2 linked regions of the Lepisosteus oculatus genome follow. The protein of the gene in region 1 purifies or fractionates together with the protein of each later gene. This does not show direct contact. Links are inferred from orthologs where the notes say so. Each region holds a gene or a part of one and is shown on either strand. Other genes may lie near its edges.

What was found. Proteins that work in one complex are often made in the same cells at the same time.
Region 2: the proteins of slc31a1 (region 1) and usp32 purify together in Homo sapiens (co-immunoprecipitation; 3 studies listed by BioGRID and IntAct, with this or other methods). This does not show direct contact. The link is inferred for Lepisosteus oculatus from reciprocal best matches to the Homo sapiens genes SLC31A1 and USP32.

What each region holds. Positions count from the first base shown.
Region 1 is NC_090719.1:255,670-263,587, forward strand, and holds the start of slc31a1 (high affinity copper uptake protein 1), read left to right. Parts: upstream 1-4,429; 5' UTR 4,430-4,616; intron 4,617-5,363; exon of another isoform or gene 5,364-5,533; intron 5,534-6,044; 5' UTR 6,045-6,126; coding exon 6,127-6,131; intron 6,132-7,825; exon of another isoform or gene 7,826-7,918.
Region 2 is NC_090721.1:8,329,880-8,337,877, reverse strand, and holds the start of usp32 (ubiquitin carboxyl-terminal hydrolase 32), read right to left. Parts: upstream 3,562-7,998; 5' UTR 3,390-3,561; coding exon 3,332-3,389; intron 1-3,331. Other genes in the region: si:ch1073-145m9.1 (CDP-diacylglycerol--glycerol-3-phosphate 3-phosphatidyltransferase), read left to right, coding at 7,165-7,204, 7,483-7,578, 7,944-7,998. UniProt on the Homo sapiens protein: Deubiquitinase that can remove conjugated ubiquitin from target proteins, such as RAB7A and LAMTOR1.

The DNA.
Region 1 (7,918 bases):
TTAAACCTGGCGAACACGGTGCGCGCTGGAGTCGCCCTGGAAACGCGCCGCGGCCCCCTCCCCGCGAGCTGCTCTGGCCCTGCCCCTCCAGGTGAGGCAGACAGGTGCGCGGGACGGTACCGGCGTGCCTTGGAGACCAGGCCGGGACAGGCGCTGCTCAGTGCTGATCTCATTAATCCGGAACCCACAGCACACCCTCTAGCCTGATGCAAGGCACCACGTCTTAGCAGTGAATTATAAAAATAATGTAACCAGCTAATAATGGTATCAAAGATTATTTCTTACATGTACAGTTGAATTAATTCACCTTATTCAGAAATACATTAAAACAGATCAGCAGTCCGTTCTTGTACGGTTCACAAAACGTCGTGTATTCAACTTGCATGTTTAGTTTATCCAGATTTGACTCCAGGGAGCTCCACACTGTAACTTAGGCTCCATCTAGCGACGGAGAACCGCATTACCTCGCAATCACTATTTCACATTGATATCTGCTAGAAATGTGGATATCATTTTGTTCATTCGTTTTCATTTATAAGAAGTTCTTGTCATGTGTGTGCATATGCGTACATTTTGTTTGGCAGACGGGTGTTGTTCAGTTTGAAAACCAGTCTATCCTTTATATAACTTTTCACGGAAATCCAAGCCTTTTGACTTCCAGCGAGTATCGTATTAAAGCAAGCAAGCACGTCACACTTCAGACTGTACCCTTGGAGATCTCCGCAACACGGCCCACTGAGACGTGCGGAGCTGCACGGACTGCGGTGCATTCCCCGGAAGATCTGAGCTGGACCTGCTGATCCTGAAAGCAACAGCGTCTTTAGTTTCGCTTGATGTTTATCTTCGCGTGGCTAATTTAAACGTTATTTATATTTCTGTTTGTAACACAAGAGACGTGACAAAGGAAAGAAAGCCGTTTAGAAGCTAACGATCCACGCCGTTTCTTGAAAGAAGTCAATCCTTCAGCAACCGGGCCGGACAGGTGTTCCCTGTTCCGCAGCTCTTTGTGTAAAGACTCCTCCTGTACTCAGTTGTAAATCAATCTCAGTTGCATTTCCAAATAGTTTCCACTTGCATCGTCTAGTTTCAATTTCACATAAGTCACGCTGATTAGGTACAATGTCAACATAACATCCCGTGATTCATGTTCTACACTTTCAAACATTTATCGTAGCACTTTGTTTGCCGTTTGTATCACTTACCCACATTGCCTATAAGAATTAAATGATGCATCACTATAAACACCCAATTCTTCATTAGTAGTGTCTTGAAGCAGTTTCCCATTTCATATTTATAGTTTATGTTTTTGGTATTCACAATTAAATGTAATCTGCCGGAAAATACATTTTATTTTATTTTTTGCCCTCCCTTGAATGTTCTCCAAGTCTTTTAAAACGTCTTTTGCTGCTTATGTAGTATTTGCTATATAGACTTGTATACTTTAATATCGGAACATTGATTGTTAGGAAAAGCCAGACTTGTCAGATCTCCTGTGGTACTGCACCACTCTGAGCATGCACATATCTGTACTGTGTTTTCTATTGGCCGATTCTGTGATGTTTAAAAAACAAAAACACCTGTTCCTGCGCTATTATGGATACTGGAAGATTCACTTGTAAGAGAAGCCAATGATGAACTCTATAGATATGATTGTGCTCTCAGAGGTCCCTTGTTTTCTTATACAAATAGGAAAACACGTATAACAGGTTTATTATCTGTAAGAATCCACTATTGTCAAAAATCAGAACAAAAGTAGTGCATCACTACTATTAGTGATTGTCTGCCAAACTATCCTACCAACACAAAACTCTTGACAGCTTTTAAATTCAAATATGCAGATGAGAATGCTGCAAAGTATTAAACAGAAACATTCACACAGATACAGGTCTCCAAAAATCAATTAACCTCATGAAATCAGGCTTCACGATGCTTTTATTTTATTTTGCGTAGAAAATCTGTTGCAGATGGAATGAGCTGGTAACTGGTTAAATGTCAGCCGCTATAAAAACCCAGAGTCTGCTTCTTCTCTTTAAGAGCCGGTGGAAAGACTGTAGGCAGTACTAGTGCACAGGAGTTACTGATGATACTGGCATCTGCATCAGCTGGTAATCGTAGCTGAAGCACGCTGATCACTTTGATTGTGAAGCACAACAGATGTCACAACAGTTCATCGGGTTAGGTGTTTTCTTTTAATTTTTAACCATGTTCCCGAAAATGTATTGCTTGTGTACTCCTTTCATTGGTGAAGAGATACCAGTTTCCAAAATGCCGCTGGTTCAACACGAGAGCCCATATTCACATTTTTAGGTATTAGTTTCAAGAGCGATATAATTTAACAATTAAAAACAACATTGAAAGCACGAGCATAACAATATAATGATCATAGACTTTACATTTCTATTCATTTTTGAAGTACAAAGCAGGTGTTTCCTCTACCTTAAATATACGATTAAAATTGTTCAAATACCATGTATTCCTTACAGAACATGTCGCGACATGATATGACATACCCCGACAAAAATGCCCTGTCCTATGTCGCGACATGGAGTCCGTATATCGCGATATGACATACCCTGACAAAATGCCCCACCCCCATGTCGTGACATGGAGTACATACATCGCGACACGTCTATCTGGGTATATCATGTCCTGATATGAGACCTGTTGCGATAGCTGTGGCAGGGTGGCATGGAAGCAAGGCGCCAGTCGTGATATACACTGCCGCGATATACATGCGATATACATGGGGTCCCTATCATGACAAGCTGCGGAGGTCTTGCCCGATGGTATCCCACAGTTACGCGTTTGGCAACAGGAAAAGTCACGGTAGGAAAAGAAAGGAAAAGGAAGAAAAGGAAAAACAGAGATCTTACAATCACGGTGATTTTACGTAAATTACAGCCACAGGTTCATGTCATAGATGGTTAACTTGTCGGCATGCGTCATGTCTTAGTATTATTCACATCTAAGGAGGCTCATATGTTTATGGATATTGATTGTCTTTATAATGTTAATGGTACGAGCTAAACTGTAACAGAGCGCTTGAACTCGGCAGACGGGGTCACTGGAGGTCAAAGTCACTGTGTATCTCGGGAACGAAAGCAGCACAAACGCTACTTTCAACGGCACAAACCGGCACAAACGTAGCGCTAACGAATGAGGTGGGTTTCATCGTTTGTGCTGTCTGTAGGGGGGGCAGCTTCACGGAGCTTTTAACTTGCCTTTACGTAAGGATTTCAGAGGTTGGAGTAAATGCATCGCCCCAAGGGTAATATCGAGTGAGGCTACATGAGAATAAAAACTGCGAAGGTATAAAAATATTAAGTTCTAAATTCTTGGTTGATCCTTCATAATGCTTTTAAACTTGTATGTGACCCACGAAATTAGTATTTTTTTCGATGCCAAAACCTAATTTGGAAATTCACACAAGACTTAACACTGAACTGTTATAGTCGCATTACAGTGCTGACCAATCCATCGTACCTTTAATTTTAAGAATGGTCTGCTAATAAAAGCGTCAAATACATACTTAGGATGTATTTTAGCGCTGTAAACGTCGTTCACTTAAAAATACTGCAGGGCATTTAGAGGCGATCTGAATAATTATCTGTAAATGCATACTCGCATCTATCTGTCAACATTATCTCAATGTTATTCATGCATTCCAAAACATGTAATTTGTTTACAGGAGATATTTTAGGACCTCTTCGTGCTTAACTCCTACAGGTCGAGCATGTATCTGCTGCTTGTGTTCGGGAAGCCAGGCTGTACTCCTCAAAACCCAAGATGCCTGTAGCATCTCATGTGTCTTATTTGTTTCGGGACTGGTCTGGTCATCTACAGGCGGCTTTTTGAAAAGCGTAGATACACTTGATCTTAGCCAAAAGGCCGATATTTCCCCAGAAATCGCGTTAATTACAATGAAATACTGATCAAAATTAATAGAAATATTGTATTAACAAACTCGATGTAATTATATATTTCAACGTCAGCATTGATTAATTGTTTAATCCAAATTATACCATTCTTAACCCAATTTTAAAAACAAGGTTTTATTTCTAACTTTTATATAAAGTTGTTCCAAATAGTAAATCTATGAGGGGAAAAGTTATGTTTACACATAAGTGACCACGTTAGAAGTACGTTTATGAAAACTAGGAAGTTTCAAGGGGATTTTTCCAATGTCAAAGTTACACTTAAGTAAAAACTCTATACCCCTAATTCTTGAAATATCAAATTGGGGATTATATGCCACATACTTTGCTAATTATTTTAATAGTTTTGTATCCATTTAATCTTAAAAATAGCATTAGATGTCCTAAAATCTAAAGCATTTAAGCCCCCTTCTGCCTGTGGACGACAAAGAATCTATTTTTTAGGATATTGCGGTTTTTGCGTGTGTACATGTGGCAGAGCCGGAAGCCGGTGAAGTCCCGTGCTGCGGACACGATGATTGGCGGATCGCTTGCAGCCTGTGTGTTACGTCAGCTTGCTGCTGCGAGAGGTGTCTGGGTCCTGGGACGGTGTCGGCTGGTCTGGAGAATTTAGCCGGTTCGCTTTGTGCGGGATTAAGCGGAGGGGAGAAACAGGCACTATTGGAGGGTGTTCTGGCGAGGGTAGGTATATCCGATATTGGGCCGTGTGTGTGTGTGTGGGATGTGGGGAGACAGGAGGTCTGTTGTCTGCAGTTTGACCTCTGTTCTTGTGCGCTTCTTTATGACGATCCTGAGTGCCAAGCGGCAGATGTTCGCGTGTGTTAGTGAGCGCTTTTTGATGATGAGTTTACGTAGGATGTTCAGGGGGTTTCTGTGAGTTTGAGCTTTTTTAAAAAAATAACAGTCGTCTGCTGGCGTTTGCGGATGAACTGGTTACTGGTTCCCATTGGAGATGCGCAGTCCGCACACCGGTGTGTGTGCCATCTGAAGGCGAGAGCCGTGCAGGATTGCATCAGCGCTTCTGCGTCTCTTCATATCGCTGTCAGATCGATGCTTTTGGAGAACATTAAACTGCTCCAGTCGTGCTGTATGTTCTTAGGAAGAGAATCGCTGAAGTGTAATGAAACCGCTCTCCAGAGGGTGCGGGCAGCGCTGTGTCAGCTCTCGGAGTCCCGACTGAGCAACAGGCACGCTGGCCTCCTCTGACCCACACCCCAGGTCACAAAGGGAAGTGGGGGAGACCACACAGAGCCCCAGCACCAGCCCGAAGCACACCATACAAGCTGTGGTTGGAAATTTGTTTTGTTTTTTTTTAGAAATAACCTTCAGGTCCTGCTCTGGTATTTCAGTGTTTGTATTTACTTTTGCGCAATTTCCTGTTGACTCTCACTTGCAGTAAGTACAGTCTGCTCTGGAGGGTTAGCGCCAAAGTCAATACTACACTGTTTACCTCCTAGCTGGGCTCAGGTTAGCTGTAGTACTTCCAGCTCAGCTACAGTGACCAGCCTGTTTTTTCATGAAGCCGAGAAGCCGAGGTTTCTACAGGAGTTTCTTCTTTCTTATGTGAAACATGGCCGTCTGCTGGGAGTCTGGTACAGGTACAGCAATATCGGCACTGAAAAGGGAAACCTTTCATGTTTTGTATTTAGCCAATTGCTATATTTCTATATAAAGAGGCTCAATAGAATTGTCAAGGCAAGTGCTGAGTTCTGATGCACTGAACAGTCTTGCAGGCAGGCTTGTCTGGTGTAGATGAAGAGAGCAGGAGTACGGGCTACAGTGTGGGCACTGATGAGCAGAGAGCAGGAGTACAGGGAACAGAGTGGACACGTCACAGTGTGGGGCGGTGCTCCAGGCTGTGTAGTCTGTGGGTTCAGTCCCAGATGGAGACACAGCTGTAGTCTTGCTGGTGCCCAAGCTGCTCCAACAAACTGAACACCAAACAAACAGGAAACACTAGTCTGTAAAAAAGAAGTAAAAGTAGACACCCATACATTTTTTCTTATTAAAGCATTACTCATATTAAAAATACTCAGATTGAAGTTTTTCTCTGAATTCTTTGGCTGTGTCCACATATCCAGGGTTATTTACAAGGCATTTTTCCACCAGGATCAAGTTTGCTCTGGCACTTAGGGAAGTGGTTGGAAAACGGTAGGGGTGCAGAGATCTCCAGGAATCCAATCTACCGGAAATGAGGTTGGTGGAAAAAAGAGGAATGAAATGAGTGTTGTATGAGTCAGAAACCCGGAGTGTGCCGTGGGCACCAGTGCAGACTGACCAGACCAGGTCTCCAGAGTCCCGCTCTTCAGGGGAAGGTTTGTCTTTCCGTTGAAGTGGGTCTCTGAATGAGCAACTCCTGAGGTCAGAGCTGCTGCTGACTCCCACCCAGGCAGAAGGTTTGTGTTGTTCAGTCAGTAAACGCCGAGCTGTGTTTTAATTAATGCGCTGTTGTCGTGGAACTTTGCAGTAGGGAGCTAGGATTGAGCCCTGCAGGGGGTCAAGAATGAGTATTGTGTGTTCCCTTTCTGACAGACTGGATCAGAAAGCTGCAAAGGGAGGGAAAGCAGTCTGCTCTTGATTAAGAGCTGTTATTTACCCAAGGTCACAATTTACCAGCACCACAATGCTTCTCTGAGGTTTGGTAGACGCTGAATCCCTGAGACTTGTCTGCATTTCAGTTCTTCATCACACTGAGCTCCTAAAACACTTCCCACCAGCCCCTTTCAGCACAGCATTGGTCCTTCGGGGATGTGTAATTTCAGGGATGTTCAGGAATGTTTTTTGGTATGTGGAAGCTGTAGGTACTGGCACCCACCTACATCATTTATATAACACCATTATAATCTCAAAATTGTTGCAGTTATAACATTATGCCTGTACTCAAAGCACCAATGACCTTGCATCTGTAAAAAGTTCTTTATGTTTAAAGCACTTCTTTTGTTAACAATACGTCCTTGGGATAATGACACGCAGCGCGTAGACTGCAGGCAGCTACAAATTCAGTTTTTGAAAACAGAAAGGCTAGAAAGGAAAGCCATCTCGCTGCTGGAAGAGGGGGTTGGGTGGGATTGAGGATTGTAACTTCTGTTATCTGGCTGTAAAGAGGAAATGGGCGGAGAAAGAAAAAGGAGAGAGAAACTTTTTCTTCCTTTCATGCTGCTGTATGGTGCCTTAAGTTCAGTCCTGAAATAAAGGCCTGGTGTTTGCTTCACCTCTCTAGCCTGGACTCTGATTCTTTTCCTGGCCTGCTGAAGAGGGTTACACTCATCCATCTGCCTTGACTGTAAACCAGAAGCACACTCAGGGTCAAGGTCAGAGATATAGCCCAGGAAGCAGTAACCAGATGGTCACAGAGGGCCTGTTTCTTGAGTGCTCTCTTGTGCTCTGGAGAGGAACTGATCTGTCTGCTCGTTGCAGTGAAACTCATTACATTCCAGATTATGAATAAACGGAACACAGATCTGCAGGGGCCAGAAAAACTCAAAGTTGTCAACAGTGAAGTCAAATAAGACTTGTGTTTCTCTGAATGAGAACATTTATGAAGTAATGTACTAACTGCATCATCTACATTGACTTTCCTACATGTTCCGGCATGCAGACTGAAGGAAGCTGACTATTCTCTTAACCTGAACTATGTGATGTAGATCCTGAGTTATGTCATGAGCCACTCAAGATACTTCTTTACAGTGGTTGTTACAGCTACTGGAAAAGTGGTAGTTATGGCCGAATGGCCACTTTCTGAAACCAGACAGACAATGGGTGATTTCCATCGACAGGGAATGGAGTGATTTCCCTGCCAGAGGAAATAAAGAGAGAGACAGCAGAAGGCAAGAAAGAGGGTGTTTAACAGTACAGATTGACTTTGCATGAGAGGGAGAGGGAGGAGACTAGAGCTGATGCAGATATATTGTAAGCTGCTGTAGGAGGAGTCCTGTCCGCTGTGGGCAGGGTTAGGGGTGTTTCAGGCAGGAAATTGGAGGCAG
Region 2 (7,998 bases), on another chromosome or scaffold:
ACATTTCCTACACTATGTGTAAATGTCAAATTCTGTTTACATACAAAATAAATGTTCACAGAACAAGAACTTCACACAACATTTTTAATATATCACATTCCTAAAAACAGACCCTAGACACATTTGATCAAGTATACTCATATCTGTTTTCAGATATATAAAGAATAAATTTAGTGTACTTTTTATTTCAGAATATAATATGAAATATAATTTATTACATAATATCTTTACTTGTAACAAACAAAATGCTAGTTAACCCCTACATTTTATTAGGTAGCCATTACAATAAAACTGTTCATGATTTTAAATTTTCTATATCTGTTTTATACTGTAATTCTTAACTCTTAAAGAGAAAACTGAATAAAGCTGATAGCACACTATACTTATCATCCTAAGTAAGCACTAACACTGACAATCATGCAAAACTTTCCAAGCAAACCATATTCTCTTTGTGTTTCCTGCATACACACCTCATACTGTGGATAAGAACATCCAAGGATCTGAATTGGGAAAGGGCACAAAAATACCATGTTTTACACCAATGTGAAAGGACATTAGCTAAAGGGAAATTGTTTTCTTGATCAGAAATAAATACAATGTATGCACACAGCAGACACAGAGAAACAGCTGAATGTTCAGGTACTTTGCTCTTCAGCTTGGAAAAACAGCCAGAAAACTGTTGACACAGCTTTCACACACCTATTCTATATCTACCTGACCATGATATCTGAGCAGGCATGCAGGTAAAACTACACCATAGCTTTAACTTGATTACTCATATCAGCAGTAGACTATACCTTACAAGTTGTCATAATGGGTAAAATTTAAGATCTGATGCTAGAACAGTATTCATACCAGCAGTAGACTACACCTTGCAAGCGCTAACCTTAAAACTAACCCCTGTGAGTTTGCTCAACTGCAGCAAACTCGACTCTCGCAGTACAGTCACCTCTCAAAATACACAGAAGGCTCTGGTGACCAGAAAACAGTACAGGCTTTAGGTCTCTGTTCAACAGCACAGGTTGAAACATGAAATTACTAGGGAAAAAAAAAGGATAATGTCTGCACTTTCATTTGTGTCTCCCCATCCCCAAGACGTTTTTAAAAAAGAGTAAATTTGCAAATGAGCAATAGCGATATGATCAATGCTAGATCTTTTTTCCCTGTAGGACACCAGGTGTAAAACCCCTGCAAATTATTTGATGCGTCATCAGCCACAAATGCAATGAAAGAGAAGACAGAACTGCTCCTGTCAGAGAACACTTCCCCCTCAGGGGCTTCCCCACACAGTACCGTGTGCTGTAGCAATTAACCAGACTACTTAATCACTGGTGCTGGTCTCTAATTGGCGTTCACATTGGAAATGTAGAGCTCGGAAGAGCCCTCCCCCCAATCCTCTCCAATCCTAACCACCTCTACATTTTTTTGCAGACAATATTTATTCAAAAATGCAAAGTCTGCAAAAGTTCAAAGCTGCAGTGGTACTTGACTTAATTCAATATAATTGTTTGCCAGGGACTATGTACAATACGTTCTCATTTAACCCTCATAAACATTGCACTGCTTAGAAAAGAGTAAAATTACCATCATTACTACTGAAATCCATTTTTTTCCCTTTCTGCTCTGTACTAATGTAGACTGCTTGCTTCACACAGAAATCAGCTAGTGTTTGCAGGAATGTTAATTTGGGTAGATGTGATAAATGAGTCTGGGAGACGTCTTTAGCAAAAGCCAGAATGATATTTTCTCTATCGCATTGTCTACAGAGATTAGAAGCAATTTTTTTTCCCCACTTAAATATCTGGTTTTCAGCAGTGAAATTATATAAATGCAAACTATTACTTATTTCAGCACTGGCTCAAAGTTTAATGACCTGTCCTTTTTGTAGATAAACAGCTCTGATTTATCATGCCGTTATTTGGTATTACATGCCAAAGTGAGTCCTGATTGCTGCTGCTGAAAATGACAGGGTTACACCAGTAAACAGACTGGATTACTGGGAAGGGAACTGAAGTCTGTGCTAATAGAACGTGCCTATAAATACTGTCGTACAGTAACAGTGTTGCGACACATAGATACTCATACACAGGCACAGCATTTTTTCTCAAATGATTAAGTAATGGATAGTAAGAGAATGCAGTTTGCAAGAATGCAAGAATAATAACCCCATTAGATAAATAACAAATACAGTTTAAACTAACTTTGATGATTGTTTTGCTGTTAACACACCAGAGAGCTCTGCAGTTCTGGTGTGCATCATCATCTTGTTCACACGCTCTTCAGAGGTGCCCTGCTTGCACTGCTTATCTGCAGATGACAGATCTCCGATGCACACACCATTGTGGATTAGAAAGCAGAGGGTGTTGAGGCCACTGGCCACTATTCCATTTAAAATAAAACAAAGTGAGAAGTTCTCATTTCAAGGGGAGTTTGTCAGTCGGATGTCCAAGCATCCAATCTCAAATTTTACCCATTATGACAACTAAGGGCTTGTCTCAAGTGTAGTGTCAATGCCTTTCATAAAGCAGAAACTGTAACACAAAACACTAAATTAATCTGCTACTGAAGACTTCCTTGCAGTAAGGCCTTGATACAGTGACACCACAACAATGCACCCATACGGGCGTTTTGAAAGGGCTTTCAGTCTGCGTTTGGTGTAACTATTAAAAACCAAAATAAACGTTAAACGATCATTAAAGAAAGTGCTGTTTACGCTTTAGGCGTGCATGACAGGGGCGATCTCTCGCTTTCCTCCAAAGGTGGAGATCTGGTAAATGTCCTGTACCGACCTGAGCTCCAAAGTAAAAAAAGGCAATCTTCCTCTCCTAAATTAACGATTATCCATCATTATTGCTCGCCACACACAACTACAGGGCACACACGTTATCGGCGGCCTGGCTTCATTCCTGTTGGTATTCTGAGCCTTATTTGCTAATGGGTTGTGCCGGATCACTTAAGCTGCTTAGTACTACAGTGTCACATTCCGATAGCGGAGCTCGGCCTCGGCCAATTGGAACAAAACGCAGAAAAATAAACAAAAAATATTCGCTTCACCCCGGATCCCCAGATTCTCCCCTGCCCCTCTGTACAATTCTGCTGAATCGCGGTTCCTTCGGCTTTCAGAACCCAGCACCTCAGCGACCGAGCGCCCCGGGCAGCTTCAGTACGGACACGACACTTGTCAACACCGCCTCGCCTCCTGCAGCCCGCCTGGGAAACCGACAGCGCTCCAGATCCCCCCGCAGCCGTGCGGTAAACAAGGCGAGCCCCGCTTGCTGTCACTGACCGCAGGGTGTTCAGTCCCACCTTCTCCAGCGGTAACAGCACTCACCTCTCTTAACGGCCTCGTCATACGACAGGAACCCTATCCGCGACTCCTTGGCGCCCATGTTGCCCTCATTTCACAACAATGCGAGATATGATTCTGTAGGGGGGACCCGGTGCCTGCTGCCTGTTTTTTTTTCCCCCTGGTTTGTCGTGCGCTCGATGCCAACACCACCGTAGCCTCAGTGTTTTCGCCGAATGACGCTCTTCCTCGCCGACGCCTCCATACTTGGTCACATGACCGAACCTAATGTCGGGTCACCTGACGAGGTAGGAAAACAGCTACAGCGGCACTGCAGCGCGCAGGCGCCGGGCGCGAGGACATTGACTGCACCGCTGGCGCGAGCGAAGCGAAGATAATGGATTTCTCCTGCATCAATAGCGCTATAATAATAATAATAATAATAATAATAATAATAATATAGTGTCTTCAAAATCAACTTCTCAAAGCTCTTAACAGTAAGAGAAAAAAATCATGTGAAGTGCATCACCATGCTTGATACTCTTCTGCTTTCTATTATGTATTAAATACATACTTAATAATATCTTATAACTTTAAACTATTTGCAGACAAAAGGAACCAACCGAATAGCAAGTAGGAGCGAAATAGTAATTTATGTAAAAAATGTCTGCATACTTCATTTAATAAACAATGACTACTGTTTTAGTATTCGTAGGAATACTGCAGTAATGTTCACACGATTTATATAAGAAATTTGCAGAATTAAATTTCATGATTGCTTCAGGACTGGATTAACCCCCACTTTAAAGTGTTAGTTGGTATATCATGAACCATTTGATTTTATTAAAATTTAATTATGTAAATAAATACTGCGAACCAGCGAAAGTTTTCCTGTGAACGGAAACAGACAGCCCTGAAGGAAAGACCTAGACAATATATCGTGCACAAGACTTACTGTCTCCACGATTTATGGTCTTTGAGGTTTCGAGTCACAAGAGGTCTCATTTCCTATTGAGAGGTTAAAGCATAGTTCTGTTTTAAAGGCAATTACTGTTTTTTTACATCATTCTAATTACGCCAGCTGAGATTTACAGTAATATAGTAAAAGGTCTCGAACCCACACGCTCGAGGGACAAAGGGCCTTCGTCTCAGATCAGCTCTTAATTAGTCAGCTGCATTAATTATTGGGCCAACTGATTAATTACAGTTTTTATCGTTTGCTAAAAAAAAGTGCGCTTTGAAAACCCGTTTTATGCCTCATTTGCGCATAATTATTCTGTTGGGAAATGAAAGTAAGTGTGTTTGTGTAGTGTTAGCCTGTATTAAACCGCAGGTGAATGAGCCCTTTCGTGGTGTTAATGGATACGGATATATATGACCGGAAGCTCCGGACCAAGGTTTGACTGTCCCTGCTGGCTCCACCCCCCGGGACCAGGTCTCGGCCAATCAGGGAGCAGACCCCGAGACACACCCCTGAAAATGATCGGATCGCTTTCGGACGGGAAATGACACGATTTGACAGCTAAAACGTTTAGGGCTTTTGGCTTGTGAGAGATCAGAATATGACTCTGGAACAAGATAACCTCCCTTGTAAGTGCGGATCCGACACCAGCTGCCTTGCCTAAAAGGACTGCATCTAACTTTGACTGTAAGCAGCGCCGAAGGCAAAGATAAATTACAATCCCATTGAGAGGAAATAGATATAAAATGCAAGAGGAGCAAATCAAGATAGTAAAGAGGAACATAGATCAATACACTCGTTTAGATGAACTAAGAGACAGGATGTATTGTTCTCATTAATTCTCTACCAATAAAGAGCAAGAAGCAACAATGCTGTTGGGTTTCTTCTGGTCTGGTCTACAATACTGGTTCGCTTGCCTTCCTCTTTCTCTTCATTTTATTGTCCTAGCAATCCAGTTGTGACTTGTACTAGATCAGCCACATAATGGTGACCTTAGAAGAACCCGAGATGTGAAACTTATTTTAGCAAATTCACTTCCTCTGAACTGGACTGTACACGGAGACGTAGTCTGAAAAAGGAGTAGTCAAACAACGCACATCATTCACGGACTATTACAACTTCCACAAACAGGACGCTGGAATCAGCCTGCGATTTAAACGTGGGAGTGGAAGAAAAAACAAACATTTATAATGCCTTCTTGGTGTTGATATCAGATACGGGAGAGCTGGCAAATGTTGTAGAAATGACAAAGGATTTGAAAGTATTTAAACAGCGCTTTCAAGACGTCTGAGCAAACAGTTTACAGAGTAAATTAAAATTACACAGGTGCACAGTGTTGAATGCAGTATCACAAACAAACCACAGGCATGATAAACAGCTCATACTGTCTTGGACTGTCTTGTTAGCACATCATTGTCGTCTTCTAGGCCATAAAAAATGTTAAACAGACTATCATGACATTAAAAGTGATTAATTTCAAGCAAGTGATGTTGTCTAAATTGCAGAAAATTCCAAGACCACATTTAGAATATCGTATACAATTCTGGTCACCACATTACAAAACAAAAAAACTAACGCTGGCTCTGGAATCAGACCAGGCAAGAGCAACGACAGTCAGTCCCGGGTTCGACTGTGACCTGTCTCATGTGCTCATTCTGGTGAGGCCTGCAGGCCCGTCCGGAAAGGATCCCAATAATGTTATAGCGACCTCAAGTGGCCTCAGGGAGAAATACAGCGCATCACCTTGAAACAAATGAAAACAGATCAAGCAAGTTATTGATAAACTAATAGCGGTTTTGTTTTGAAATTTGGTTGACTTACGGAATAAACTCCGATATTTATAAAATACCCTACCGTTAGTAGGACCATTTCTATGTTCGAAACACATTGGTGCCACTGTGGTTACCGATATTAAAAAGTCAAGTTTTATTGAACATTAATACATGATAAAAGAGAAAATGGATGGAAAAAGACAAGTCAACAAAAAAAAAACACCCAGAACAATATATTGCCAGAGATAATTACAAATCTGAACACGACAGGTTACAATTTTACACACGCCAATTGTGTTTTTTGCCTTGTTTTTTTCTAGCCTTTTATGGAGTTGAAGGAATATTGTATTTCCGCCTTATAAGCATTGAAGGGGGGTAGTATTGGTCCATTTTGTTTTGTGGATGCGATTTATATCCGTTATCAATAATTGATTAGAAATACACGATCTTTTCCCATTGTACAGCATAACATCATATCAAACATCTTAGATCTAACACCCACATTCAAATGCTTGAAGAGAAAAGTTATCATTGCAGAGGTCAGCGGCTTACTGGTTGCCGCCGAAGTGTCCTGACAGGAGAAACGCTGAGGAAGTAGATGTTCTATGGAAAAATAACATTTATTTACAGTTAATCTGTAGGTAATACTTCCTATATATCATAATCACAAAACAAAAAGGTCCAACGCTACACCCTCTTATCTCTCATTTTTTTCGGATACCTTTTGTTCTTCGATCGGATTATAATGACCGTAAATAAAAGTTTGAACCAAAAATTAAATAGACAAACACGCAGAGGAAGCGTGTTTGCCCGCGTTGCTGTGGAGGTGACGGGCTCGGCGCATCAGGAAGACAGACGCGGAGGGGTGACGGTGGTCGGTCGGTGGAGTAATTCAGGGCGCCACGGCGCTCTTCCCGCAGAAACTCTCGTGGAAACGGGGCTTGACAAGCTGGCCCTCAGACGTCTCGCCGCGTATGTTAATGAGGTGCTGTTTCCTCTCCCCCGTAGCCGACGTCACGGGCGCTGCAGGAGGTGATATTGAGCTGATGAGATGAAGTTGCCCTTCCTGCCGAGCCGCGGAGCCGTGCGGGAAGTGGAGACTGTGCAGTCGGCGAGGGGGCGGGCGTCGCTCCGGAGGGGATGAAATGGGACTGGAGGTGTTACTGTTCGTCCCGAATGTTATTGGTGAGGAACGAAAACAATATGTACGCCAGCCAGGCACGGTTAAGAAGCGTGTCGGCGAGCGACGCGCTGGCTTCCCAACGCGACGGCTGCTCGCGTAGTGCCGTTCTGTGTTTATGCCATCTTAATTGAGGGAATCTTACGTTTAACAATACATCTTTGGGCCGTTTGTGTTCAGATGGACACTGCTGCACGCACCTAGATGGAGATAGTTAGAGATAATAAAGGCCAAGGTCCGTCAGTGACGTCACTCCTCTCACAGGTGATCTCTTGTCGCACAGGGTACATCCGGGTCCTGCTGCTGGGCATCGCCTGGGCTTACTTCCACGAGCCTGAGGTTTTCATCCCCTGCTACGTCATTTCCATCATACTGGATGGTGAGGAAACTTTGTATAGTAGGTCTACTGAGTGGGAAAGCAGAAGGCAAAGCAACAGAAGAATACAGGGTACTGATATTGAAAGCCTGATTTTAATTTTGTCGAGAGGGACTATAGTTCCCTGGCTGTGACGGGGTGTCTGTGTCTCCAGACCCCGGGGCCCAGTCCAGACCGGCGCAGGGACGGGGTGTCTGTGTCTCCAGACCCCGGGGCCCAGTCCAGACCGGCGCAGTGACGGGGTGTCTGTGTCTCCAGACCCCGGGGCCCAGTCCAGACCGGCGCAGGGACGGGGTGTCTGTGTCTCCAGACCCCGGGGCCCAGTCCAGACCAGCGCAGTGACAGGGTGTCTGTGTTCGGTATCTCAGGGGTGGACGGCTGGGCAGCCCGGCGCCTGAACCAGACGTCGGAGTTCGGGGCCTG